Linked DNA regions of Canis lupus familiaris. The protein of the gene in region 6 interacts with the protein of the main gene of each other region in a biochemical or structural test. Links are inferred from orthologs where the notes say so. Each region holds a gene or a part of one and is shown on either strand. Other genes may lie near its edges.

The links.
Region 1: the proteins of ABL1 (region 6) and ERBB4 form a complex in vitro, tested with the Homo sapiens proteins (2 studies listed by BioGRID and IntAct, with this or other methods). The link is inferred for Canis lupus familiaris from reciprocal best matches to the Homo sapiens genes ABL1 and ERBB4.
Region 2: the proteins of ABL1 (region 6) and GRB2 form a complex in vitro, tested with the Homo sapiens proteins (3 studies listed by BioGRID). The link is inferred for Canis lupus familiaris from reciprocal best matches to the Homo sapiens genes ABL1 and GRB2.
Region 3: the proteins of ABL1 (region 6) and PRKN form a complex in vitro, tested with the Homo sapiens proteins (2 studies listed by BioGRID, with this or other methods). The link is inferred for Canis lupus familiaris from reciprocal best matches to the Homo sapiens genes ABL1 and PRKN.
Region 4: the proteins of ABL1 (region 6) and CRKL form a complex in vitro, tested with the Homo sapiens proteins (4 studies listed by BioGRID and IntAct, with this or other methods). The link is inferred for Canis lupus familiaris from reciprocal best matches to the Homo sapiens genes ABL1 and CRKL.
Region 5: the proteins of ABL1 (region 6) and ERBB3 form a complex in vitro, tested with the Homo sapiens proteins (2 studies listed by BioGRID and IntAct, with this or other methods). The link is inferred for Canis lupus familiaris from reciprocal best matches to the Homo sapiens genes ABL1 and ERBB3.
Region 7: the proteins of ABL1 (region 6) and RAD51 form a complex in vitro, tested with the Homo sapiens proteins (2 studies listed by BioGRID). The link is inferred for Canis lupus familiaris from reciprocal best matches to the Homo sapiens genes ABL1 and RAD51.

The regions. Positions count from the first base shown.
Region 1 is NC_049258.1:19,996,463-20,000,740, reverse strand, and holds the start of ERBB4 (receptor tyrosine-protein kinase erbB-4), read left to right. Parts: upstream 1-1,478; 5' UTR 1,479-1,638; coding exon 1,639-1,720; intron 1,721-4,278. UniProt on the Homo sapiens protein: Tyrosine-protein kinase that plays an essential role as cell surface receptor for neuregulins and EGF family members and regulates development of the heart, the central nervous system and the mammary gland, gene transcription, cell proliferation, differentiation, migration and apoptosis.
Region 2 is NC_049230.1:5,987,133-5,991,389, reverse strand, and holds the start of GRB2 (growth factor receptor-bound protein 2), read right to left. Parts: upstream 2,801-4,257; 5' UTR 2,649-2,800; intron 1-2,648. UniProt on the Homo sapiens protein: Non-enzymatic adapter protein that plays a pivotal role in precisely regulated signaling cascades from cell surface receptors to cellular responses, including signaling transduction and gene expression.
Region 3 is NC_049222.1:51,748,775-51,752,759, forward strand, and holds the start of PRKN (E3 ubiquitin-protein ligase parkin), read right to left. Parts: upstream 2,801-3,985; 5' UTR 2,584-2,800; coding exon 2,577-2,583; intron 1-2,576. Other genes in the region: PACRG (parkin coregulated gene protein), read left to right, coding at 3,212-3,367. UniProt on the Homo sapiens protein: Functions within a multiprotein E3 ubiquitin ligase complex, catalyzing the covalent attachment of ubiquitin moieties onto substrate proteins. Substrates include SYT11 and VDAC1.
Region 4 is NC_049247.1:30,747,035-30,751,064, forward strand, and holds the start of CRKL (crk-like protein), read right to left. Parts: upstream 2,801-4,030; 5' UTR 2,268-2,800; coding exon 1,957-2,267; intron 1-1,956. UniProt on the Homo sapiens protein: May mediate the transduction of intracellular signals.
Region 5 is NC_049231.1:764,852-768,351, forward strand, and holds part of ERBB3 (receptor tyrosine-protein kinase erbB-3), read left to right. Parts: intron 1-232; coding exon 233-346; intron 347-439; coding exon 440-560; intron 561-2,774; coding exon 2,775-2,848; intron 2,849-3,027; coding exon 3,028-3,118; intron 3,119-3,356; coding exon 3,357-3,500. UniProt on the Homo sapiens protein: Tyrosine-protein kinase that plays an essential role as cell surface receptor for neuregulins.
Region 6 is NC_049230.1:53,242,157-53,245,656, forward strand, and holds part of ABL1 (tyrosine-protein kinase ABL1), read right to left. Parts: intron 474-3,500; coding exon 300-473; intron 1-299. UniProt on the Homo sapiens protein: Non-receptor tyrosine-protein kinase that plays a role in many key processes linked to cell growth and survival such as cytoskeleton remodeling in response to extracellular stimuli, cell motility and adhesion, receptor endocytosis, autophagy, DNA damage response and apoptosis.
Region 7 is NC_049251.1:8,126,752-8,131,050, reverse strand, and holds the start of RAD51 (DNA repair protein RAD51 homolog 1), read right to left. Parts: upstream 2,801-4,299; 5' UTR 2,544-2,800; intron 1-2,543.

The DNA.
Region 1 (4,278 bases), on a different chromosome or scaffold from region 6:
GGGAGTGTGGACTCGCAGAAGGTACCTAAAGTTGGGTCTACTGTAGCATAAGCCTAATAATCATTTGTGTTGGCCATGTCCTGGTATGGCCTTAAGTTCTTTCACAGTAACAGCTGCGGAGTGAGAGAGTTTCTAGCCCTTTAGAACCACATTTATACCTTTGGACGAGAATCTGTTTAATGAGAATGAACCCCATACAAAGTTGTCCCAAGTCCAAGGAAAAGGTGAAAAAAGACTTACGAGGTCTGAAAAGCAAAGGCTGTAGCTATATAAATGCCGTCAGTTCGGCAGGGTGGGAATTGTGGGAGGGATGGCATAGTTGGAAAAACGGGTGATTGTGTTCCCAGGACCACCTAACCGGCAGAGCCTCCCAGCTCCCGAACCACCTTTTTAACTACTTTCTGAGTGTGCAGCAGCATTAGAGGTTGGAGAAGGGTGAAGGCTTTATGCCCGAAGCAACGTTTTCTTTTCTTCTATTTCCAGCTCCAGTCTGTGGATGAGCACTGTGTGTGGGGCAGTAGAGAAAACGGGGACTTTCTGGTTTAAGGAAAAGAAAAAAAAAAAAAATCTGTGAGCAACCCTGCGGTGGTCTCCGCGCTCGCAAGCCGCTGTCTAGGGCCTCGGCGTCGGTCGGCTGGGTCGGGCGAGCCCTTTAAATCCAGCTCCCCCGCCCCCCGCAGCACGCGCCCGCTCCCAGACAGGTGTTTTCCCAACTCCTGAGACTGAGGATTTTGGGGAGAGTACGAGCCAATAAGATTCCCCTCTGGGGGGTGGGGGGCGGGGAAAAAGGCGGGGCCAGTTGGGTCAGAGCGGGGGCGGGGCTCGCGGCTGAGCCGAGCCAGCCCGGTTGCGTGGAGGCTTGTTTTATCCGCCCCCCCTCCACCTTTTTTTTTTTTTTTTTCCCCCCTCCCGGAGTCTTATTAATTTCTCGGTGGGGCTGCAGCTGGAGACCGCGGAGCGTTGGAAATGACGCTCGGAGCTTTAATTACCGCAGCCGCCGGACAAGTGTGAGGAAAGCTGACGGGAAAAAGAAGGACAGGATCGGGGGAGAAGCGAGAAGCGCCCTCCCCTCGCCCCCCCCCCCCCCCCCGCCCTCGTCCTCCCATCCCCTCCCAGTTGGGACTGGAGGTGCAAGGAAACTGAAAAGGGAGCCCAACATAGCCCGGCTGCGGGGAGAGGCCGGAAACCTACCGCCTCTTTGCAATCAACTTTTTTTGGAAAGCCTTTTCCCCCCTTCCTTTTTATTGTTGACCAACCAGTGCGAGAAAGTGAGGAGGGAGCGAGGACGCGGAGGCTCGCACGGGGGAAGCGCTGCCCAGTCCGGCCCCGAGCGGCACGCGCACACCCTCGGGCGCACGGCCCCGCGCACACCGGCGCGCACGCCCCTCCTCGGGCCCCGGCCCCGGCCCCGGCCCCGGCTCCCCGCGCCCCCGCACCCCGGCCCCGGCCCCGCCGACTCGGACTCGGACTCGGACTCGGACTCGGACTCGCACGCGCACTCGCCCTCGGCGGCTCCAGCTGGGAGCCGGTGCACCGCGCCCCGGGCGCGCCGGACTCGGGGCCCTCCTCCGCGTGCCCGACAGGGGAGATGCCATTTGGACATGTAATTGTCAGCTCGGGATCTGAGACTTGCAGAAAATGAAGCTGGCGGCAGGACCGTGGGTCTGGGTGAGCCTTCTGCTGGCAGCGGGGACCGTCCAGCCCAACGCCTCCCAGTCAGGTGGGTGTCCGGGGCTCCGCGCCCCCCGCGCCCCCCGCGCCCCTCCGGCCTCCTCCTCCTCGGGCTTGGCTTCCCTTCCTCCCTCCGTCTGTCCGTCCCCAAACTTAGCCTTTTTCGTGTACCTGCGTTTCACTTACCGTGAAATGTCACTCTGCGACCCTGTCCCCCCTCCCTTTTCCCCCCTTCCTTTCTCCCCGACCCCCTTCTTTCTTTCTTTCTTTCTTTCTCCCGCGTTTTCGGGGGAGCCTAAAAGCGGGATCTCTGCGGGTCCTGCCGGTTGTGCGGGCCGCGGGACACGCGGCTCCCGAGGCTCCCGAGTTGGACGGTCCCGCCGTGCGGGCGCCCCGAGAGCGAACGCCTGGCACCGGCGCGCGGGGCTCCGCAGGGGCTGTCCCCGAGCCGGCGGGCGGCGCACCTGTGCGGCCGCGGGTCCCTCCCCGCTGGGGCGGCCGCCAGCCTGCGCGCCGCCGACTCGACGGAGCTCGCTGGCCCGCGGGCTCTCTCTAAAGAAAAGGGGGGGGGCAGGGAAGGGGTTTGACACCCTGAGCGGGAGCCCGGCCCTGCCGTCGTCGCCCGGCTTGGCTCCGGGAAGAGTTCTTCCTGTAGTTCAACTTCTATTGGCCCGAGTCCCTCCAACTTCGCTGTTTACTGCCCGGCGCGGCTGCCGAGCCGACCCGGGGCGCGACCCGGTCCACCCCGAGGCGGGAGCGACGGCGCCGCCACCGCCTCCGCCTCCGCCACCGCCACCGCCACCGCCTGCGAGAAGGCGCGAGCCCGGGCACCTGGACGGGCCCAGGCCGACCGCCCCCGAGGCCCGGGGTGGGCTGGCGTCCGCGGCGGCCAGGGCCACGCACGGCACCTGCAGGGCGAGGCTGCTCAAAGTTTTTGACACTTGAGTTTCCTGGGGATGAAAGCGGGGCGGGAAAGGACGGAGGCCGGTGGGTCTGATGCCGCCAAAGGGGGCCTTTTGCAGAGCGGGGGGGATCTCCGGAGCCACCCCGGGCTGGTGGCGGGAGCGTGGGAGGCAGCTGGGAGGGTGAAGCCCCCCGGGAGCGCCCGGGAGCGGGGCTCGGGCCGCGTCGGGCCCCCGGAGGGCGTCCCCCTGACCTCACCGGGAGCCGCGCGCCGCCTTCCGCGCTCCGCCCCCGCCGCTGCCGCCTTCCCTCCTAGCCTAGTAAATAACAAGTCGCAGGCGCCGAGCCTTTCAGAATGACCTTCGAGTGGCACCAGCGTGCGCCGTTGGTGCTCGCCGTTTGCACCCTCCCGATCCTCGGGAGTCCTTCATGCGCACCGGGTCGCGCGCTCAGCCGCCGCCGGAACCGCACCAGCCCCGACCGCGGATTCCAGGCGGCCTCTTAGATACGTGCCTTTTACCTCCTCCCTCCGCACTCCGAGTCCCTTCGTATTTTCCCTCAATGGGTCGATTATGCACATTGACCCATTCAAAAGCGTGTGCGACCGACACGCAGACTTAGGCGAGAGGGATTTCTCCGAGTCCGAGGCAGCCCACTGGGGGCTGTCGGTGCAGCCTCGGCCGCTGGGGGACCCGGCTCCGAGTGCGCAGCAACTCGGTATTAACTGTGTGGCTCAGGGGTGAGCTATGCCGAAAAGCCCTTTTCAGAATTTCTGCAAAGAATGCAATCCAAATTAGTTCTGCAGCTGTCCCCTTCCTCGTCTCCGGCGACACCGCCTCGCGCCCTCGCTGGTCTCTTCTCGCTTCCCCCCGCGAATGGTCAGACCCACAAGTGAGCCCCTGTAGAGCGCGGGGATTAGCGTGCCATTGTTGTTCTGTGTGTGACTCTGCACTTGAAATTCTAGGGGCACAAAGGCGAGCCTCACTTGTTCAAAACACAGAGTGATCCAGATGAAAGGGCCGCACAAAGAAAAGCTCTCGGTGCATCCCTGGTACAATTGCAACACGCATGCTAAGGTGATCCACTGGGAACTGTAAATGCCCCTGGGGACTTCTTTCTTCACCCTATTCCCCTCCTCACCCCCCCCCCCCCGCCCCCACCACCCCTGCCGCACCTGGCAGGGAAAGTTCAGCTGGTTTTAATACAGTGCTTTCACGAAACCAAGTTACTGTGTGGAGTGTGAGTGAGGCTGTGTGTGTCTGTGTCTGTGTCCGTGGGGCTGTCTGTTCCCAAGTAAATACATACTGCGTGTCTCCCCTCTCGCGGTTAGCAGTCAGTAGCAGTTTGGAGGAGTTTGTTTTGGTCCAAATGAGAAATTAAGTGCGGATAAGTAAACTAAGCTGCCAGAGGGCGACAAGATGTTGAGTGAATTGCTTTTAGATGAAACAAATTAAGGAAACGAGGGAAGACAATCTGCTTCTCGCATTATTAGACACGCTTGGAGTTCAGGGGAAAGTGGCATATTTTTGAAATGCTAATTTCTTAAGCAGAAGGAATGCACCTTATTTACTGCTCTATGTGAACAGAATAAAGATATGGGTGGAGGGAGGATTCTGTTGTATAGATCTAAGATATTTATTAAAATAATTATAATGGGAAAGGACCTGTTTTTATTTTTTCTTCTCTTGCTTGGGAAAAAAATCA
Region 2 (4,257 bases), about 47 Mb from region 6:
GAGCCTAATTTAAAATAAGATTCACAGGTAATTCTTTTTTTTTTTTTTTTAAGATTTTATTTATTTATTCATGAGAGAGAAAGAGGCAGAGACACAGGCAGAGAGAGAAGCAGGCTCGTAGCAGGGAGCCTGATGTGGGACTCGATCCCAGAACCCCGGGATCACGCCCTGAGCCAAAGGCAGATGCTCAACCTCCTGAGCCACCCAGGCATCCCAGATTCACAGGTAATTCTTAAGCATGCTAAATTTTAAGAATCACTGCTGTACTAGTAGAATGCCTTAACCAGATTTCAAACTTTGCATTCCAGATAATGCACTACAATGTCTTTGCATAAAATAAAAGTAATGCACATTCACTTGGCTCAACTAGGAAAAAGCCAACTTTAACAAATAAAACCAAGGGCTCTCAATAGCCTTTCAGTAGTGCTAGGAAAGTCTTTTGAACTAAGCAAGGAACTATTAATTTCTCTCAGGAGAGCATGGTACATCTCTATTCTGTATTAATTTCTCCAAAATCTATTATTATTTTGTTCTAGGCAACAATCAGAACTGCTGCTGCACAACAGGCAACATAACAGCAATTTCTCAAAAAAACTGCTAAGTACCATCAACTAGTAGTATTTAAAACCCAGCAATCCCTCAAATCTGAATACACTTGCTAAGGGAGTAAACTGCCTCAAGCACTTAAATGCTTGCTTTTAGTATCAAAGAAAGCCAATTACAAGAATTAACTTCGGTTTTTATTTTGGGAATTCAGAAAATTTTGGACAAAGGAAGGAGTAATGAAACAGTTATTTATATCGAAAAAACCCCAAGAACAGTAACAACGATGCCCCATTAGAAGAACCCTGGTAAAGAATCCAATTGCCACAATGGGCAAGTTGTTTTTTTTTTTAAATATTTTATTTTATTTATTCATGAGAGACACAGAGCGAGAGAGAGAGAGAGAGAGAGGCAGAGACACAGGCAGAGGAGAAGCAGGCTCCATGCAGGGAGCCCGATGTGGAACTCGATCCCAGGTCTACCAGGATCACGCCCTGGGCTGCAGGCAGCGCTAAACCGCTGCGCCACCGGGGCTGCCCAATGGGCAAGTTTTAATTCATCAGTGATCTAAAGAAATTCTATTCCCTTAAATATTTAATGTTATCTTAATTCTACTGTAACATAGGTCTAAGGTTGGTTTTCATTTTCTAACACACACCACTCCCACTAAAAGCCGAAAAAGAAGTCCTACAAACCCCAAATTGACCCAATCTTCCTTACTAGTATAAAAGAGACATAGGAAGAAAAGTGTAAGCAGGCACAAAAGCACAATGTTAAAATGAAGAGAACAACTAAAACACAAATAACACAAGCAAGCTACACTTGTGACCTAGTGGCAGTATTGATTACTTACGGATGAATTCAATCCTTTGAGCCTCCCAGTTCCCAGGGGGAGAACTTAAAGTCTCCCAAGGCTCTCTGGCAACTCTTCTGGCTGACTGAAGGAACACAGTGGACGCTTCAAAGTGAAGGATAAAGCAGGAAAAAGGGTATCTTCCCCGGAGAGAAAACGGAATCTTTAAATGAGGGAGAAGACAAACTGCACCAAAGGGCAGAAACCTTGAAAAATTATGCCAAAGAGGGGACAAAAAGGAGGAAGGGGAAGTAGATTAGAAGAAGGGGGGGAGGGATGAGCAAATGACTTGCATTACACAAGCAAACACTTAGTGTCCCCAGTGAAAATGGAGACAAGTAGGTAGAAAGGGAAGGCAACTACTGGAGAAGTATAAAGTGAGAGAGAGAGACAGGAAAGCCAAAGAGATATGCTATCTTCTTTCATGTGTCTTTTGGGCTCTTTTCTGAGTCAACAGTACCAAAAGACACAGGTCGAGTGCACTTCGGCTCCTCTGCAAATCGTACCTTTTGGAAGAACTCCCTAAACGAGCTGTTAACTCACGGGGCGTATATGGAGAGCGATGCAAATGAAAAATACCAGTGCCTTCCTTATCCTCTTGCACAGAAACCTTTCCTCGGAGCATTTCCAACCAACTGCTGCTTATTGTTCTTTACAAGTATTTTTCAGTGTAGTTTCAAAAAAACAAAAACAAAAAAACTAGACATCTCAGCTGGCTCCGGCAGCAAAAGTTCTAAATCACGGTATTCATAGGGTCGGTGGGCTCCCTCCCCAAATTCTGGCCCAAAGACACCGGGAGATGGTGACGTGGTGGCCGTGCAGGTCGCAAGAGCATCAATCACCACACTTGCAGCCGCGGCGAATCCCCCGCCTCCCGGGCCGGGCCGAGTCAGACTGACTCACAGAATGAGTACCCAGGGCTCCCGGGGTTCTCCCGGGCCCCTCTGCGCAAGCCGTCCCCCGAGAAAGCGTGAAACTTAAAGAGGCGCACCCGGCCTCCTGCCCCGAGCTAAGCTAAGGGAAGGACGGTCCCCAGGAAGGAAGCGCCCCAAAAAGGGAAATACGGAGCCCGGGGGACTCCGTTCTCCGCGCCAGGCCTCGTCGCCCCGACCCTGATCCCCAACCCTGGCAGCCCTCGGTAGACCGGGCCCGGTCCTCGCGGGCCACCTCCCGCTGCCGAGCAGGGGAGCAGCAGCACCGGAGCAGCAGCAGCGCCGCCGCCGCCGCCGCCGCCGCCGCCGCCCGTACTCACCGTGGCGCAGCAGCTCCGCTCCGCGCCCGGCCGACCCGTCTGCAGCGGTGCGAGCGGCCGCGGACCGCGCTGCTGCTCCCCGAGGGCAGCGCCTGCTCCCGCCGCCGTCGCCGCTTCAGTCTTCGTCGCAGCCGCCGCCGCCGCCGCCCGCTCGCTCGCTAGCAGCAGCAACACAGCCGCCTGGCTTCCGCTCCTCGTCGGGGTCCCGCGAGAACTTCCCCGCGCGGCCCCGCCCCGTCCCGCCTCGCCCCGCCCCCGCGAGACTTCCCCCGGCGGAAAAGGCCCAGAGCGCACGCGCTCCTCCTCGGCCGGGGCCCCGCAGGTAGCCGCCGTCTAGACGCCAGGGCGCCTGCGCCAGACCGCCCCGGAGCAGGTGGCACCCACGTGGCCCCGCCTCTGGGTCGCTGTAACCCTCTCTGTGCCAAGGAGGGTAGATGACAGCTGAGCCCTGAAGGAGCAACTCTTCATCACAGCCTAATCACTTCCCTTTTCCTGCCATCAAACCGAGGATTTTGCCGGGGGATGTCGGAATCTCCCTCTATCCTGAAGCGCTCCAAATAGAGGACCAGCTTTTGAAATGCTTGAGAATTCGGTCCAAACCGCACTGTTAGACGAATGAACATATTCTTCGCTCATGGGTCTAATCAAGTGCCTGATGTGTGCTAATCCTAGGCATAGGTATAGGTATACAGGTGTTGGGTAAAGAGGTACAATGATGAACAGGTATCTCGGCCCTCGAGGAAATCGAGGAAATCGCGGTCTACAGGAGCCGGAGAGGGAGGCTTGGCTGGCTCAGCGGTTGAGCATCTTTCTTTGGCTCAGGTCGTCATCCTTGAGTCCCTGAACCGAATCCCACATTGGGCTCCCTGCATGGAGCCTGCTTCTCTCTCTGCCTATGTTTCTGCCTCTGTGTGTGAATAATAATGAATAAATGAAATCTTATGAATAATAAATGAATAAATGAATAAATAAAATCTTAAAAAATGAATTGAATAAATCAAATCTTGAATAAATAAAATCTTAAAAATGAATTGAATAAATAAAATCTTGAATAAGTAAAATCTTTTAAAAAATTAGAGGAGCGGAAGAAAACAAAAAAATGCCATATGCAATGTTAGAATTATTTGGGAGAATGCTGAGGAAGCTAAAAAGATGGGAGGGAGAACTGCTACTCTGCCCATCTCAGAATAGCCTCCCAGAGAAGGTGATGATGATGTCTGAGCTGAGTCTTGGAGGACGAGTAGGAGTTCACTAGACGGAGCTGTCGGGGAAAGGCGCTTCGGGCGAAGGGAACCGCATGCCTGTACAAAGGAACGGAGGCGTGAGAGAGAGTCGTGTTCTGTGCGATGCTAAGTTGTTCGATTCCTGTGTGAGGCGGGTGAGAACGGGGGAGCAGCAGATGAGGCTTGAAGAAGTAACTCCTATTTTTCAGTTCCAAAAGCTCTTTCCAATTAAAGAGAACAGAACGTATCTAATGGTAGTGTGCTCCCTGGAAGCCAACAAAATAGTGCTGAGATGAGAATAACCGAACATCTGATTCTATAGAGAAAATAAGCCATTGAAATTAGGAAAATGAGTTGTTCTTTCACCAAGCATTTATTGAGCATCA
Region 3 (3,985 bases), on a different chromosome or scaffold from region 6:
GATACCCTGATGTCCTACTCCATACTTCTCAAAGTCATAATTAATTAAACTATGTTTCTATGACTGTCTGGGCCAGGCATTTAACGTATCAGTCATAATTCAAGTGAGAAATATAAGTACTTTTGAGGCAGTCTCTGTACCAAGAAGGAATCCTAGGTTTTAAGAACAAAAAAGGAAGGTTAATTCTACTCGTAGTGGGGTAACAATCAATCCCCTTTACTCCTATTGTTGTTTTTCCTCAAAAGTAAGCCAAGATTTTTGTAAAATGGAAGAGTACTATTTGCATTAAAGAGGGTGTAGCAATTAAAGAGAGCACAAGCATAAAACAGGCAAGTTCTGAGTAGCACAATGTCTTTAACAGGAAAAAAAAAAACAAACCCAGATATATACTGAGGTATATTTTTATCTCCAGCCTATTACTAGGTATAAACAATAATGCCTTTCCTGGCTCTGAGGTTTATTCACAAACAGGAAACCCATCACTTTTTAATTGCCTCCACTTTCACCTACCTTTCCTTTTTAATTGCCTCCACTTTCACCTACCTTTCCACACACTCTCTTCACCAATACAAGTCCAAAATTGGCAATTAAGATTTTTATCAAAAAGTGCCCACCAATAGAATTAGGCATTGCAATTACTTGTATAAAATAATGTACTGCACATTGTCCACATGGTTTTTATATGTAAAGTACCTTTCTTGGGATGGGGCATGTTGTACTTATGTTGTAATACACATTTATTTGCACTATGTAAAACAACAACTGGAGTATAAGAAAAAACACCTTTTAAAATCTACCTTATATTCTCCATGTAATTACAAGTTACTAATAACTGTCTAATCATCAAATCCAAAGATCATACTCTTCTGTCTTATGTCCCTAAGTCCCAAATAAACTAAATTCCCTAAACATAGTTCATCCTACCAAAGTTCTTTTTTTTTAAAGTTCTTATATAGTCATTTATCAGATAACAATTTAGAATTGTGATTTTTAGATCTTAAGTCCCTATCTTTATATAGCTTTGCTATAAACTTGCTTCTTTTAAGAGCATGCATGCACTAAATTAAGTTGAATTAAAATAAAATTTTATAATTGTCTTCAAATAAAACATAATTTTTTCTGTAAAATGCTGACATCATGGATTTTTAAAAATTTCTTCTATTAGTTTTTCTGATTCCACTCAGAGCCGTTTATAGTGGATTATATGTAAAAGTTGGGTTCAAAAGATTCATAAAGTTTATATAAAACATTCATTTATAAGAAAAATGTCTTCATTGGATGACTTTCAAAAGTCATTCACCAAAAGTCATACCGTGCTAGAAAGGTGAGAAAAATTGGACAACATCCCTAGGTTTTATCATTGCTGCAAAGACAGCATCAGTTAATCACTGGCATGATTCTCCCTCTGGGTAGAATGTTTTACGCTTTAACATTAATTTTCCTAAATAAAAGACTTAAGACTCTATCAGTGCATACAAACTTACGTATTTTAAAAATCCACTTCTCATCTTTCTGGACTGACCATTTCTGACTTCAGATGCACTCGATGCAATCAAAATTGTTTTTTAAGTGGTACTCATCAGGAATAATCTCCAAATAGGGTCACCAAATCTTCCATACACAATCTAAAGTAAGTCTCTGTCATAATAAACGCCCCAAATAACACTGGTTTCTAATCATACTGTGTATTTCCACTCATTTCAAAGATTACCGCGAAGAGGAGGAGGAGGGGGGGGAGGAGGAGGGGGGAGGAGGAGGGGGAGAGGGAAGAGGAGGAGGAGGAGGAAGAGGAGGAGGACGGCGAGGAGGACGGGGAGGACGGGGAGGACGGGGAGGGGGAGGAAACTTTTGTCACAGTGTTTATAAACAATTACCACAAACCATTTCCAAAGCTTTCATCATAAATATGCACCCAGGTCATTTTGTGTCAACTAATAATTCATTATGCCAATATTTAATCCTTGTTATTCTTTACTCTAGATTCTTTCATCTCAGACCTACAAGGAGAGATTTACAAGGAAAAATCGAGGGAGCGAGAGGTTTAAGTTCCTCTGCAGGAATGTCTCTGAATCCTAACCATCCCGGCAGGTGCCTTCCGCTAGAGCTGAAAGCTTCGGTATAGGGTTTCCCCGGAAAGAGTCCTACAGGCGGCGGGTCCCATCCGTCCCTAGCCGGGAGGCAGCCCCCGAGGGGCGGGGCCGGAGGTGCACGTGAGGGGCCTGCGAACCGACCCCCGAGTCCGGCGGGGCGGGGCGGGGCGGGGCGGGGCGCGGCGCGGCGCTCGCCGTGGGAACGCGCGCCGCAGCCTCCACCTCGGGAGGCGCAGGCGCGCACGCCGGGGTCCCCGGGGAAGCTGTCCGAGCACGGGCTGGGCGGGGGCTGAGCTCACACACACGTATTCCCCCGGCCCACGGCGGGCACCGGGAAGCGCGCAGCGCGGGCCGAGGGCCGGCGGACACGGCCGTCCCGACACTGACAGTTGACACCGGCCGACACCCTGGGGGCGGGGGCGTCCCTGTCCGCCGAGGCCCGGCGAGGAGGCGCAGAGAGGCTGTACCTGGCAGGTACTCACGTACCTATCATGGTCACTAGGCAGGTGGAGGCTGCTGGGCACGCAGGGGGCTACGCCCGCACCGGCGCCCGCCCGCGCCTCCCACAAATGTGGCTCCGGGGTTAAATCTTCCAGCACCTGCCTCCCTGGGGCCGGCTGTCGGAATGCGCACGCGCGGACGACGCGCAGCCAGGGGCCTTCTGGGAGTCGTAGTTTGACAGCGTAGTTTCTCCCATCGCGCCGCCCCCTCCCCGCCCGCCGTCGGCCTGCCGTGGGCCTTCCGCCCGCCGCCGCCCGCCTTCCGCCCGCCGCCTTCCGCCGCCTCTCCGCATTCAGGCCCAGCAAGCGTGCTACGTCACGGGGGGACTGGGCCACGGGGCCGCAGTGTTGACGCGTCGCTTAGCAACCGGGAGGCTTACCTTTGGAAGCTTCTTAGGGCTCTCGCCACGGTCCTTCCCTCCTCCCGCCCCTCCCCTCCGTCAACTCCCCTCACCTAGGAGCTGCCAAACATCTGGATCAACCTGGGCACTACGAGGGGTTGAATTTCTACCAGTAACGCGCCTTTTTACATTTTTTCCCCCCCGAACTCCTTCTCACATGCGTAAAACCCACTGATTCTTTTACTACACGTTTTATGAGAACGAGACATTTTCTAGGAAGATGGTGGCAGAAAAAGAGACCCTGAGCTTAAACAAATGCCCAGACAAGATGCCGAAGAGGACCAAGCTGCTGGCGCAACAGCCGCTCCCGGTGCACCAGCCTCACTCCCTGGTTTCTGAGGGCTTCACAGTCAAAGCCATGATGAAAAACTCAGTCGTAAGTGACCCTGCATTGAATATGCACTCGCTCCGATCAGGGGACAGCAGGCGATAGCTGCTGGCCGGCCTGGGATGGATCCTGAATCCGTGTCCTGGGGGGTCTGCGGCACCGAGGGGGGCGCCTCTGCAGACGGCGCCCAGCAGGGTGAGGAGGTCCTGGCTGGGGTGTCAGGAAGGATCCTGGGCACGTGAGGCACTCTTACCCACTGACAAGCACCTTCCTCCTAACTCATGGTTTCTAGACCACGCCAAGGTACTCTTAAAACTATTGACACGATTTTTTTTTTTAAAGAGCCTCTTTACGTATCGATTCCTAATCGAGCCCCACTCAGCAAAGGTCATTCTAGAAGGCGAGTTCTTAGAGATCATAAGCTCTTGCAGAATTTGACATGTGCTGATGTACACCTGGAACCATAAACTCGTTAAATCGTCTACAGTTAGGAACTCTCATCAGTTCAAACGAAGGAATTTTAGAGCATCCCTGCGTTGACCCTAACAAGCCTCTTTCTTACAAAATAATATCAGCTTGTTAGAGTTCGGATAGGCAATGTAACAGGAAGGTCTATTTCCAGACCTTTTGAATGATGATAAGTTTTAAACAGTCCAAGCCTTAAGT
Region 4 (4,030 bases), on a different chromosome or scaffold from region 6:
CTGGAGATTTCACCAATCAGATTCTTGGTGCTTAGGCCTTTGTTATAACACTATTTGATTTATAATCACTTTCTCCCAGTTTTTAAAGTCCATTTAGTTCAGCAGTTAATCTTATAGTCATTATACTGTCATGGCTTTGTTTCTTCTCTCTTACTCCACAGAAGCAACACTTAGGCATCCAGTGGGTGCTCCTTAATTATTATAGCTTTTAATGGTTAAAGCTCAGTGCAACATCTTATCAGCAAATCTATAAAATCAGAAACAGGTCATTCCAAAAAAAAAAAAAAAATCTATATCGGCAGCCTATTCCTTTTTTAAAAAAAAATTTTTTTTTTAAATTTTTATTTATTTATGATAGTCACACAGAGAGAAAGAGAGAGAGGCAGAGACACAGGCAGAGGGAGAAGCAGGCTCCACGCACCAGGAGCCCGATGTGGGATTCGATCCCGGGTCTCCAGGATCGCGCCCTGGGCCAAAGGCAGGCGCCAAACCGCTGCGCCACCCAGGGATCCCGGCAGCCTATTCCTTTTAAACATAAGTTCAAGAACCAAAATGGACAGCAAAATACTTTTTATTTAAAAAAAAATTCCAAGCAATTTCTTCAGTTCAAATTTGACATAATTTAAATAAAAGAAACGTGAAAAAATACTAAAGACAAATTAAAGCAAGTAATCAAATAAAATAATGCATTTACTTAGAAAAGAGAATGCTGCTTGCTTTAAATTATTAAACTTACAAATGTACAAAAGGTATACCTAAAATTAAACTAGGACAGAATTAAAGTATCGCTCAAAAATTTCCTTAGTAATTTACATCCTAGCTTCATTCTTCTTTAGAATATAATCAAATACATTTCTGGCCTATTAATGGTCCACCCTGGGGATAAACTATAAAATAAAAACTCAAAAAATGCGTCCTCGGGGATCCCTGGGTGGCGCAGCGGTTTGGCACCTGCCTTTGGCCCAGGGCGTGATCCTGGAGACCCGGGATCGAATCCCACGTCGGGCTCCCGCTGCATGGAGCCTGCTTCTACCTCTGCCTATGTCTCTGCCTCTCTCTCTCTCTGTGACTATCATAAATAAATAAAAATTAAAAAAAAAAAATGCGTCCTCGCTAAAGCCAATGCATCATCTTCTTAAAATTTCTGTTAGTTGGGATGCCTGAGTGGCTCAGCGCTTGAGCGCCTGCCTTTGGCTGAGGGTGTGATCCCGGGTTCCCGGGTTTGAGTCCCACATTAGGCTCCTTGCATGGAGCCTGCTTCTCCCTCTGCCTGTGTCTCTGCCTCTCTCTTTCTGTGTCTCTCATGAATAAGTAAATAAAATCTTTAATAAAATAAAATAAAATGTGTTAGTTATAAAACAAAAGGTGTCTAGGTAATTCAAATTTAGCACCAAGGTATCCTACATAGTTCCGCCACTTCACTGTGAAAGGTTTTGTTCCTAAACGCTCAAGCATTTTCATTTGTCGATTATTCCAAAGGCTGCAGTCCAAGAGTTCTTAAACTGGAGCAGGGAGCCCAAGAACCTTGAACGGTGTGCAAAGTTGTGTGTACGTGCATTTTTACGGAGGGAGAACGCCACAGCTGCCCTGAGATTCTCAAAAAAAAAAACAAAACAAAACAAAAAAGGCTTAAAAACAACAAAAACGTCTCGATTAGGATAACCCAATAGATAATGTGACGAACGGCACAAAGCGGGCATTTTAACCAGGCAACCGCCGTTACACAGGTTTAAAACCCATCCCCTCATCCAACAACCCAGACCCTGGCACTAGCCTTCCGATCAGAATGCCTTCTGGAAAACAATTTGGTTCAGAATGGGGTGAAAGGAGTTCAATCCCGCTCCCCCCACCCCCTACCCGGCGGTCGATCCCCCGCGAACCAGCCCCTGCTGTTCTCGACCCTCCGCCGCGGTCCGAGGGGGGCTGTGCGCGCGGGGAGTGCGGGCGCTCGCGTACCTGGGCGCGGGCTCGATTAGGGTGGTGGTGTCCAGGTAGTGGATCTTGTAGAACTCCAGCAGGGCCGGCAAGTGGTCAAACTCCTGGTCCCCGATCTTAAAACGGCGGTTGGGCAGCGAGTTGATGATGTAGTGGGAGACCCGCGAGTTCTCGGACACCGACAGCACATAATCCCCAGGGCAGGTGGAGGAATCGCGAACTAGGAACATTCCGTGGCGCTGGCCCTGCAGCCGGGTCTGCGCCTCCTGGCGAGACACCGGCCCCATGTACCAGGCGGAGCGGTCTGAGGAGTCGAACCTGGCGGAGGACATGGTGTCTGGCCGGGGCTCTGCGGCGACTCGGGGCGGCGGCTGCTCTCGGCTGTTCTGGACGCCTTCGCCCGACAGACGGCTCTGCGGCCAAGGAAGGGCCTCTTGGCACACCTCGAGGCGCGCTTAGAGGGCCGAGCCAGCACCTTCGTCTCGGCTCCGGGCCCGCAGCATCCTCTGCCGCCGCCCGCCTGCTCCGGGGCCGCCTCACGGACGGAGCCGGCCCGGGGAATGCAGGGCACAGCCCGAGGTCGGGGCGGGCGAAGCTGAGCCGCAGCGGAGGCCGCCCCGGGGTTCTGGGGCTGCCCGGCGTACCGGGGGTGCCTCCAGCCACTCCTGGCCCGGAACGCGCGACTCCGCGCCCCCCACGGCTCTGCACTGATACCCGCCGCCACGCGAAGCACCGGACTCCCAGGAGCGTCGCGCCTCCGGGGCGGTTTCGCCCAGCCCGTTCCCAAGAGCCACAGCAACAAAATGGCGGACGCGGGACAAGCGGCCGGCCACCTCCCCCTCCGCTCAGCGCGCTCGGTCTGCGCACGCGCGAGCTCTGGCTCTCAGCTGCCGCCCAGGCCCGCCCCGTGACGTCGCGCGGCGCGGCCAATCAGGAGCGCGGTCGTGACGGTCGGGGCGTGCGCCGCGCTCCGCCGCTCCCGCGTTCCGGGAGGAGGCGGAGGCGGCCGGGGAAGCGGGGGAGGCGAGGAGGTAGAGGCGGCGGAGGAGGAGGTGGCGGTAACGGCCACTCCCTTCCTGGGCTGCGGTGCGCCGCCGGGGGCGCTGCCGCTGCGGGCTCCCCCCCAGCTCCGGCTGGAAAACAGCTGGAGTCGAGAGGGAGCGGCGTTTCGAAAACCTGCTCCGCGAACAAAGCAGAACGTGCATGCAGAACCTCTGGCCGTGGAGGCGTGGCACTGAGGTGACCTGGCTGGCCCAGGGGCCCCGGGGGACCCGCGCTGAGGGAGACCCGCGGGCGGACACGCCTCGGTGGGTCGAGGTGGCTCTGGAAGGACGCGACCGCGGGGGCTGACGTGACCAAAGCCGAGGTGGCCTGATAGGCTCAGGGACCCAGAGTGGCCGGGAAACTCGACAGCCGCAAAAAGGGGTTGCGAAGGTCGGAGCGACAGGATTGAGTGGCCCGAGGAAGTCCACCTTTTGGTGCAATCTGGCCATCATTAGCGTTTAACTGATGAAATGCGGACTCCCCCGGGTGTGGCCCGAAGATCTCGTCCGGCTCCAGTTCTGCAGCTTCTCGAGCTAATCTCCTCGCATGCCCGCCCCCTGGCTGACCTGCTTCGGCCGGTCGTGGTGGCCTGTTTCTCCACCCTGCCTCCCCTCCCCGCGATGAAATTTTAAGAGATCAGGGATCTTGTCTGTCTTGCTCGCTTCTGGGCCTAGCACAAGGTCTGGACCTGACCTGATGCTCAAATATTTGTTGAATGAATTGACTTTTGAAAAAAAAAAAAAAATCCTCAGGCTATTGGTGCCCGATTATTGGTAGCACCACCCCTAGAACTGGACAAACGAGAAAGCCTGTAAAGAAAGGGAGACGCCGGCTATAACAAACCTATACAGATCCCTTTGTCAGTGGAGTTTCATTTCGGCGCTTGCAGCCCTCAGGTTGAACATACACCTAATTCTAGGGTGATGGGTGATATCCAGCTTAGGGTAAGCTAAAGGGGAAATGTCAAGGGTTAGTGCCTTTTGTGACTCAGCATAAGCAGGTTTTCAATCCCCTCCACCCCAATATTGTCATGTATTATTCTCAGGTTGAA
Region 5 (3,500 bases), on a different chromosome or scaffold from region 6:
ATCACCTCCGGTGAATCCTCTCCCCACTGTCCTGTCTACTTCCCATGATTTCTAGCAACTGCTCCTAGTTCTGCAACAAAGAGCAAAGAGCTTTTCTCAGCCATAGGACAGCGTTTAAGGAACCTTGGGTGGTGGTTTGGGACAGATCCAGCACAGAGCAGGAGGGAGCAAGGTTCAGTTGCTCGTTGGCAGTGTTCCTCTCTTGTCTCTCATGGTGCCCTCCTCTCCCTAGATAACTTTGTGGTCGATCAAACGTCTTGTGTCCGGGCCTGTCCTCCTGACAAGATGGAAGTAGATAAAAATGGACTCAAGATGTGTGAACCTTGTGGGGGGCTGTGCCCCAAAGGTGAGTAGGAGATGGTGAAGAGCTGGTGAAGAGAACTTCCTTTCCCCAGAGACCAATCAGGCTCCACCCACTGAGCCTCTTTTGTGTTTGCAGCCTGTGAGGGGACAGGCTCCGGGAGCCGCTTCCAGACTGTGGACTCGAGCAACATTGATGGATTTGTGAACTGCACCAAGATCCTGGGCAACCTGGACTTTCTGATCACTGGCCTCAATGGGTTAGACTCTGCATTCCCTCTCTAACCCCCACTCCATCCATCCTCTCACGGTTCATTGCATTTGGCTCAACCCTTCATATGTGCAGCTGATTAGGAATACGAATCACAGGGGCACCTGGGTGGCTCAGTCGGTTAAGCGTCTGACTCTTGGTTCCAGCTAAGGTCGTGATCCAGGTGTCGTGAGATCAAGCCCCGCATCCTGCTCTGTGCTTAGTGTGGAGTGTCCTTGAGATCCTCTCCCCCTGCCTCTGCTCCTCCCCCTGCTTGCTCTCTCTCTCTCTCTCAAAATAAATAAAAATCATTAAAAATAAAAAAAATAAAAGGAATATAAATCATGAAATTTTAAAGGTTACACAGTACCTGACCATTCCTAACTCTGTCTGCCACCCAGGACTTGAATCCCTTGAGACCCCCCCCAAGGAATCTGATAACTGTCTCACTGCACGGCAGTGGACAAAGAAATTGTGTTCTCCTACTACTTTTTTTGTTTTTTGTTTTCAGATTTTATTACATCTATCTATCTATCTAACCATTTATTTGATAGAGACAAGGAGGGGGAGCTACAGAGGGAGAGGGAAAAGCAGGTTCCCCCACTGAGTAGGGAGCCCAATGTGAGACTTGATCCTGGGATCCTGGGACTGTTACCCGAGGTGAAGGCAGACAGCCAGCTGACTGAGCCACCCAGGCACCCCTTTATGTAAGAGAGAGAGGAAGAAGGACGCCCGGGTGGCTCAGCGGTTTAGCACCTGCCTTCGGCCCAGGGCGTGATTCTGGAGTCTCAGGATCAAGTCCCACCTTGGCTCCCTGCATGGAGCCTGCTTCTCCCTCTGCCTGTGTCTCTGCCTCTCTCTCTCTGTGTCTCTCATGAATAAATTTTTAAAAATCCTTTAAAAAAGAGCGAGGGAGAGAGGGAATCCCAAGTGGGGCCATGTCAGGAGCACAGCCCCACGTGGAGGACCCTGAGATCATGACCTGAGCCGAAATCAGTCCAATGCCTAATGGACTGAGCCACCCAGGCGCCCCTTAAGATTTTTATCTTTAAGTTATCTCTATACCCAACGTGGGGCTTGAACTCAACCCTGAGACCACGAGTCGCATGCACCACTACTGAGCCAGCCAAGTGCCCCTGCCCGAATCAACTTACTTTAAGAAAGATTTTATTTATACACACACACACACACACGTGTGCACGCTTGTGCACGTGTGCGGGTGTGCAAGTTGGCGAAGAAGCACATGGGGAGGGAGAAGAAGGGGGAAAGAATCTCAAGCAGATTCCACGCTGAGCACAGAGCTGGCCTGGGGCTCCATCCCATGACCCTGGGATCAGGACCCCAGCTAAAACCAAGACTTGGATGCTCAGCCAACAGCCACTCAGGCGCCCCCTGAATCAATTTTTAAAAAAAATTTATTGATTTATTCATCAGACACACAGAGAGAGAGAGGCAGAGACACAGGCAGAGGGAGAAGCAGGCCCCATGCAGGGAGCCCGATGTGGGTCTCATCCTGGGACTCCAGGATCACTCCCTGAGCCAAAGGCAGAGGCCCAACTGCTGAGCCACCCAGGCATCCCCTGAATCAATTTTTTGATGAGAGTTGCCACATGATGATTTTTTAACTCCATTATTCCTTTTGCATTTATTTGTCGGCATTTTAGTGTTAGGAACAGTTTTCCTTTCCCATTGATTGATTGATTGGTACCTATTTCACTCAGTCCTTTATAATCTTTTACAGTTATTATTTTGGTGTTGATTTGTCTCTGTTCTGGCCACTGGGGGCTTCTTCAAGCCAGATCCCAGATTCTTTGTACCCTTCATTCTCTGAGCACTTACTTCCTTTTTTGCATAAGATGCTATAAACTCATGTTATATTTCTCCCGCCCTACTCATTTCTCCAAGGAGCCCTGTTTCCTTTTAGTGGAGGATGGTATTAGAATGAAGTTCTGGGCAGCCCGGGTGGCTCAGTGGTTTAGCGCCACCTTCAGCCCAGGGAGTGATCCTGGAGACCCGGGATAGTCTCACGTCGGGCTCCCCGCAGGGAGCCTGCTTCTCCCTCTGCCTGTGTCTCTGCCCCCCTCTCTCTCTATGTGTCTCTTATGAATAAATAAATAAAATCTTAAAAAGGAAAAAAGAAAGAAAAAAGAAACTTAAGTTCTGAGGCTAGGTGTGACTGGGTTGTACCTGTATCTTGTTGACTGGTTTTGACTGTTCTCTCCAGAGACCCCTGGCACAAGATCCCTGCCTTGGACCCTGAGAAGCTCAATGTCTTCCGGACAGTACGGGAGATCACAGGTGAGTGGGAAGAGAGGCTGCTACCCTTTCTGAGAGAAATGAGTGAACCACTGACACAAATTGGTGTATAACTAGTTACAAAGTCATGTCCCAAGTGATGGGAGAGGGGCCACTAGAACCTGAGAAGGCAAGAAGGGAAGACTCCTTCCCCGCTGACGCGCCTCTCTCCAACCCGTCAGGTTACCTGAACATCCAGTCCTGGCCTCCCCACATGCACAACTTCAGTGTCTTTTCCAACCTGACAACCATTGGGGGCAGAAGCCTATACAAGTGAGTAGTTAGGAGTGTGGTGGTGGTAGTACCTCCAGGCAATGAACCCTGTTTCTTAGGCATCTTTGAGTGAAGCACACGTGTTGTCTCAGCATGCCCAAAGGGCTGAGAGTTGGAAGGGGAATCTCTCTTCCCGGTCTGACTGGCCCAGAGCACATTGGTTAAATGAAAAGGAATCCACTGCATGGTCATTTTCCCCTGTGTAATCTCCCTTCTTACCTCGTTTCCTTGTTCTCAGCCGGGGTTTCTCTTTGCTGATCATGAAGAACTTGAATATAACATCTTTGGGCCTCCGATCTTTGAAAGAAATTAGTGCTGGGCGTATTTACATAAGTGCCAACAAGCAACTCTGCTACCACCATTCTCTGAACTGGACCAGGCT
Region 6 (3,500 bases):
AACAACATAAGGAAGTTTCTTGGAGGAAAAAATACTTTCTCTTTAAAAAAAAAAAAAAAAAAAAAAAATGTTTTTGGTGCTTAGTCCAGGCGTTCTTTTCACGATCATGCTCTGGTTTTCCTAAGAACTACCGTACGGGAACTCTTCTGCTTAAGTGGCTCTCTCATAAAGATACTGTTTTTTTTTTTTTTTCATTGTTGGCTCTGCATCCTTCACTAGGAAAACGGGTAGCCAGCCAAGCCACAGTTTCACCAGATCTGTCCCTTGCAAGCACCAGCAGTGGTCCATAGTTCTCCTACCTTTAGTTATGCTGAGGGTATTGTCCCCACTGGCCACAAAATCGTACAGTGCAACGAAAAGGTTGGGGTCATTTTCACTGGGGCCAGCAAGAAGGTTTTCCTTGGAGTTCCAACGGGCTGCTTCACTGAGACCTTGGGGCTCAAAGTCAGATGCTACTGGCCTCTGAAGGGCTTCTGGAAGACAAATGGGAAACAGAAGAAACAAGAAACATTGGGGGAAATAATTAGTTTTATTCTCAGGAGCCATAAATTGTTTCCATCATTAAACATTTTTGGTTTACTTCATTTCTCTTTTTTTTAGGATTTTTTTAAAGGTATAATTTATTTATTCATGAAAGACACAGAGAAGAGAGGCAGAGACACAGAGGGAAAAGCAGGCTCCCTGTGGGGAGCCCGATGTGGGATTCGATCCCAGGACCCCGGGATCATGACCTGAGCCGAAGGTAGACACTCAACCAATGAGCCACCCAGGTGCCCCTGATTTATTTCATTTCTTAACATCTATATGCAATTTGTATTAATAAGAAAGGTGGTAAAATGAAAATGGACTCTTCCTTTCCCAAATCCTGTGAAAGGTATGAAGTATTTTCTTTTCTTTTTTAGTATGAAATATTTTCATTCCAAAGTGGCAATCACGGTTTCCAAATAGCCTCAGCTTTTTAAATTCATTAATTCAAAATGAACTCATTGTAATAGTTAAAAATAGAAATAGTCTATCCTGGGATCCCTGGGTGGCTCAGCGGTGTAGCACCTGTCTTTAGCCCAGGGCGTGATCCTCGAGTCCTGGGATCAAGTCCCACGTTGGGCTCCTTGCATGGAGCCTGGTTCACCCTCTGCCTCTGTCTCTCTCCCTGTCTCTCATGAATAAAGAAATAACACGTGGCTCCTTGCATGGAGCCTGGTTCACCCTCTGCCTCTGTCTCTACCCCTGTCTCTCTCCCTGTCTCTCATGAATAAAGAAATAAAATCTTAAAAAAAGAAAGAAAGAAAGAAAGAAAGAAAGAAAGAAAGAAAGAAAGAAAGAAAGAAAGAGTCCATCCTCATACATCTTTGCCATTGCTTACATATAATAGAGAACAAAAGTTTCTTTAAAACATTTCAAAACATGTTAAAGTTAATATGTGTATATAATTTAAAAATCAAGTAAGACAGACAGGCTTATGATAAAGGACAAACACCTTCTACCTCACTCTTCTCTACACCCATAGGCAACAGCCATGCATGCCTTGGGTGACCCTCCATCTCTCTGAGGAGAAGTTGAGTCTCTTGACCCCACTCCTCTGCCCCCACAGCTCCTGTGCCAACCTCTACCATCACCTTTGCATTTTCAGCAACACACTTGCACAGGCTTCATTTCTTGTTCTCCAGCTATAGACAGCGTCTCTCGCTATTTACTTCCCAAGATAACATCCCACCCTTCCTTCCAGCTCTCTCGACACTCTCAAAGACAGCCTTCTTATATTTCCTTTACCTTGTGAAAACTAGTAAAGTTTCTTCCACTTTGTAATTATAAAGTCCTTCATGTTTTGTATATAAGTAGATTGTAAAAGGTGAACATCGATCAATCTCTCTTAAAGTACATGTGGCTATTGTTCACTACAGGGTCAAAGAGAGTTCATTATTTTTTCCTGAAATCTTTTTCCTTTTCTTTTTTTTCTTGAACTATGCTCAACCTCACTAGAATTTCTGTGATATACATGAGAGTTTTTTTAAGCCAGCAAATGAACTCCAGGTAGGTCCTTTTAACAGTCATAGGATATTCTAGATTGAAATTGGAATACTCATTTAAGGAAACTATAATAAGAAACCAACCTTTACAAAAGGAGGGATAAGGGGAAACTTTTAATTTTCCCATATGTGTAAGCCAAACCCAAATGGTAAGAAAATTATGTATGGGTGCCTGGGTGGCTCAGTTAGTTGGTTTTAGCTCGGGTCACAATCTCAGGGTCGTGGGATTAAGCCCTGCAACAGGCTCTGTGCTAGGCAGGAAGTCTCCCTGAGATTCTCTCTCCCTCTCCCACTGCCCCTCCCCTGGCTTGTGCCAAATCTTTCTCTCTAAAATAAATAAATACATCTTTAAAAAAATAAGAGAAAAATTAAAATTTTCCCTCTTTATGGATTTAGAGAATCCCCAAACATCTTTTCTTGGGCAATAACAGGGATAGATCTGATTCTGCAGTATTCACTTCCCCTCAAAACAAAACAAACCACTAGAGACATCTAAGACACCTGAGGGATGAGGCTGAACCAGGACTGGAGAACTTTGAGAAATGGGCATTCTTTAAAATATCTCTTTGGGGATGCCCAGGTGGCTCAGCGGTTGAGTGTCTGCCTTCGGCTCAGGGCGTGATTCTGGGTCTGGGGATCAAGTTCCACATCAGGGGCTGCCCAACTAGGGTCTTTCAATACTAGCTTTTATACTACTGACTGAAGTAAACCTTCGGCAACTGTTTTTGCTAAAAGAGTAAATCCCCAACTACGTCATTATTATGTTTGGTAATCTCACTGTATGAATCATGAGGGCAAAGAGAATTTCAAGGAAGAGGGTCTGTAACACTGCCACTTCCTAGAGTGCAGAAAAGCCTTAGTTATGAGTTAGGCCTCGTCTCTTGAATATTTTACATGGGCTTGAAAAGCAAGCCTAGCACCCATTGTGATCAGGAATTGATCAATTAACCAAATACAGCTGGTTAAGGGGCAGCCCCGGTGGCGCAGCGGGTTTAGCGGCTGCCTTCAGCCCCGGGGTGTGATCCTGGAGTCCCAGGTCAGGCTCCCTGCAGGGAGCCTGCTTCTCCCTCTGCCTGTGTCTCTGCTTCTCTCTCTCTCTCTGTGTGTCTCTCATGAATAAATAAAATCTTAAAAAAAAAAAAAAAAAAAAAAGCTGGTTAAGGCAGAGAATTTTTTTTTTTTTTAAATGTGTGATCCATCATTCCCACTTGAAAGTGCACTGGCTTGCTGGCCTTGACTGCAGGGACAAGGTCTGCCCTCTTGGGGCTGAGTATGTATGTGGTGAGAGTTGGAGATTGTCCCCATCATCTATCTGGCTTCCAGCTTCGGTTTTCTGGCGGCCGAGGAAGGACTGGGATTTATATGCTCTGTGGCCCCAGCACAGTCCCTTCCAATTGCTTACAGCTGGCTCACTCACACCTGGTCTGGCAGCAACATTTAAAATCACCTGCCTTTACTGAGTCTAAGGCATCC
Region 7 (4,299 bases), on a different chromosome or scaffold from region 6:
TTTTTTTAAGATTTTTTTTTTTTTTTTAATGAGAGAATGAGAGAGAGAGAGAAGCAGAGACACAGGCAGAGGGAGAAGCAGGCTCCATGCAAGCAGCCCGACGTGGGACTCGATCCAGGGTCTACAGGATCAAGCCCTGGGCTGAAGGTGGCACTAAACCGCTGAGCCACCAGGGCTGCCCAGAATAAATAAAATCTTAAAAAAAAAAAAAAATTTAAACACCTCCCTTCATAATTTATGAAGAAGATGGAATTACAGAGAATGGAAAAAGGATTTTTTTTTTCAATAAAAAGTGCTAGGTTGATGGGAGAGCCTTACAGAATAAGAAAAAGAACAAAAACAAAATAAAACACTGCACATACAGAAGAAACATCTGTTTCCAATTCGATTACAGATCTAAATATAAGAGGTAAAACAAAGCTTTTGGAATATAGGTGAATGTTTTCATGACTTTGGGATAAAACTTTCTTAAAGCAACAACGAAAAAAAAGACTGAAAAATCGGACATTTAAACTTAAAACTTCTATCCATCAAAAGACACTATTAAGAAAATGAAGTCAAACTACAGGTGGGAGACAAAATATTTACCATATATACAACTAAGGGCTGATAATTAAAATATATAAAGAACTTCAAATCAGCAAGAAAGGCAACCCAATAGGGACACTTGGATGGCTCAGCGGTTGAGCATCTGCCTTTGGCTCAGGGTGTGATCCCGCAGTCCCAGGATCGAGTCCCACATCGGACTCCCTGCATGGAGCCTGCTTCTGCTTCTCCCTCTCCCTCTCTCTCATGAATGAATAAATAAAATCTTAAAAAAAGGAAAGGAAAGGAGAGGAAAGGAGAGAGGGAAGGAGAGAGGGAAGGAAAGAGGGAAGGAAAGAGGGAAGGGAAGGGAGAAAGGCAACTCAATAGAAAAACAGACAAGAGATTGGAACAAGTACTTCAGGATAGAAGATGTCCAAATGGGCCAAAAACGATGAACCAATGCTCAACCTGACTAATTATCAGGAAAATCAAAATTAAAACCACGAAGTATTACTATATGCCACCAAAACAGATAAAATTTTAAAAGATTGACAATATCAAGTGTTGGCAAGCATGTGAAAAAACTAAACACTCATACACTGCTGGTGTAAATGTAAATTGGTAGCAGAAAACTGGCAGTAGGGATGCCTGGGTGGCTCAGCGGTTTAGCACCTGTCTTTGGCCCAGGGCATGGATGCGGAGTGTCGGGATCCAATGCCACACCGGGCTTCCTGCATGGAGCCTGCTTCTCCCTCTGCCTGTGTCTCTGCCCTTCACTCTCTTTCATGAATAAATAAATAAAATCTTTAAAAAAAGAAAACTGGCATTAAATGTGGAAGTTGAATATAGACAAATGCTATGACCCAGGAATTTCAACGCTGTATTACTAACCAACTGAAAACCATACACGTTTGTACCAAAACATACGCAGGAATGTTCTCTGCAGATTTTCTCATTTAAAAACTCAGAAACTAGAAACAACCCAAATGTCCACCATGGGCATGGGCAGAATGAATAAGGAATTCAATACAGAAACTAAAAAGAACTATTACTATATGCAAAAATAAGTACGAATCTACAGACAGAATGTTGAGCAAAACCAAACACAAAAATATACATAATATGGGGAAACTGGGTGGCTCAGCGGTTGAGCATCTGCTGTCGCTCAGGTCATGATCCCGAGCTTCTGGGATCGAGTCTCGCAGCAGGCTCCCTGAAGAGCCTGCTTCTCCCTCTGCGTCTCTCATAAATAAATGAATAAACAAAACCTTTTAAAGATAGATAATATCAGTTACACAAAACTCAAACACAGGCAAATTTAGTCTTTGGTGTCAGAAGTCAATACAGAGGTTACCTTTGGAGAGAACAGGGGATGTTGGGGTGCTGACAACGTTCTATTTATTGACCTGAGTAATGACTGCACAGGTATATTCTTTTTGAAATCAGAGGCGTATACTATACACTTCTGATTTGTATATTCTTCCATACGCATATTACACTTCACTTTAGCAGTCAAAAGAAACCACTTCACTACAGATCATTCCCCAGGCATCATCACACGAACGGCCTGAATTAGCTAATGAAAACGCCTTTTAGGAAATTGGAAGCTGGTACTCCGTAAGCAAAGCAGGGTGTAATGGAAAGAGGATTAACCAGAAATCCGGAAACCCTGGCCCCGACAGAAACAGCTGTGACGTTAAATCACAACACCTCTCTGGATCTCGGCTTTCCCGCCGCCCCCACCCCCCCACCCCCAAACCGGGTGTTGAAAATGAAGGCCTCTGAGGTTCCTTCTAGCTCTGGAGCCTGGGGACCACTTCAGTTTTTGCCACAACGAGCCCCGACGGTGGGTTGGGCCCGGGCATGACCCTGCTCCGCCCCGCCAACTCCGGTTTCTCACTTGGCGCAGAGGGGCCCATAAGCCGGCTGCCGGCGGCACGGGCTCCGCCCGGTTCGGCTACTGCGGGGACGCACCGGGAGGCAGGAGGGGCCGAGTCTACGCCTCACACGCTCACCTCGGTCCACAGCGCTCCTCACTGCCGGGCTGCGCGCTCCGACTTCTGTCCGCGGGTCCGGTCCGCGCACGACTCTGGACGGGCTCTGGACTCCCTCCCTTGCTGCCAAATTTTCTACTCCCTTTTTGCCGCCTTCCGCACACAACCCAAGCGAGCTTCAGCTCCCAACGACGCCCCTAAGGGCGCGTCAGTCTCCTCAGGCTGGGTCTCAAACCGCAGAGCTCCCTCCGGGGAGTGTTTGGAGATCCCGCCAAATTCTCCGGCTGGGTCACGCCAGCGTCAACGTAACGTCTCCCCGCCCCCTCGGCCCGGAGGTCTAGCCCGCTCTGCGGCTGCTCGCGAACCCTAGTTGGGTCCAAGGAACTTGGTCTTGCCTCATGTGAGGCATTTGCCTCTTCCCTTTACCCCTAAAAACTAATTCACAATTTGGGAGTCGCCGCTTCCTTCTCTTTTACCAGACCAAGGACTACAACTCCCAAGAGGTAGTGGGGTGGGTCGGAGACTCCATCTCCCAGCAGGCACAGGGTCGCACACCACTTTAGCGCCTCACCCCTGCTGGGGGAAGGTCTGGCTCTAGAGAGCTGCTCTCGATTTGCCTCTTTAGTTTCTAAACCTGGACGTTTAGTCTGAGCTTCCGATTTCGTCAAATTCCCGGAGCCTGGGGTTTTCCTTCCAGGCCCCTGGAGGTGGTAGAGCTGAGATGGAACTGGAAACAGCTAACGAAGGGGAGAAAAATGGCTGAAATATTAGTCAAGTCTTGGTACTTGAGATTTGGAAGACTCCCGAGGGCAGGAGACACTGATTTTGAGAAAGTAAACCTTGTTTACTGGGAAGTTGGACCTGTGTGTGACTCCGGTTTTAAAGCGTTAATGGGGTTTCCTGGGCAAAGAAACGGAGATGGGAGACTTAGAGCACTATGGGTATGGAAATAACGTGGTCAAGCGATAGAATTGTCTGATGAAGGAGGAAAAGTGTCCTAGAGACGCTGATACTGGAAAATTAACATTTCATTCAGGTTATGAAGAAGCTTAAGGCCATGTGTGGAGCTTCAGTCTTTATTCTTTAAGTAATGAGGAAATCATTAAAAATCTTATTTTTTTTTAAAGATTTTGTTTATTCATGAGAGACACCCATAGAGGCAGAGGGAGAAGCAGAGGAAGAAGCAGGCTCCCTGGGGAGCCCAATGTGGGACTCATCCCAGACCCTCAGATCATGAACGGAGCCAAAGGCAGGGGCTCCACGCTGAGCCACTGAGGCACTCCTCATTGAAAGTTTTTGAGGGGATCCCTGGGTGGCGCAGCGGTTTGGCGCCTGCCTTTGGCCCAGGTGCGCGATCCTGGAGACCTGGGATCGAATCCCACATCGGGCTCCCGGTGTATGGAGCCTGCTTCTCCCTCTGTCTATGTCTCTGCCCCTCTCTCTCTCTCACTGTGTGCTTATCATAAATAAAATTAAAAAAAAAGTTTTTGAGCAGAGGAGTTCTATGGTTTGATCAATCTTTCCCCTACTACTACTTTATTTAGATCTATTTTTCCCCCACTACTACTGTATATTTGTGGAGTGCTTTAAAGTTCATAAAGCTTGTTTGGTTTTTTTTTTAATTTATTTATGATAGTCACAGAGAGAGGCAGAGACACAGGCAGAGGGAGAAGCAGGCTCCATGCACCGGGAGCCCGACGTGGGATTTGATCCTGGGTCTCCAGTATCGCGCCCTAGGCCAAAGGCAGGCGCCAAACCGCTGCGCCACCTAGGGATC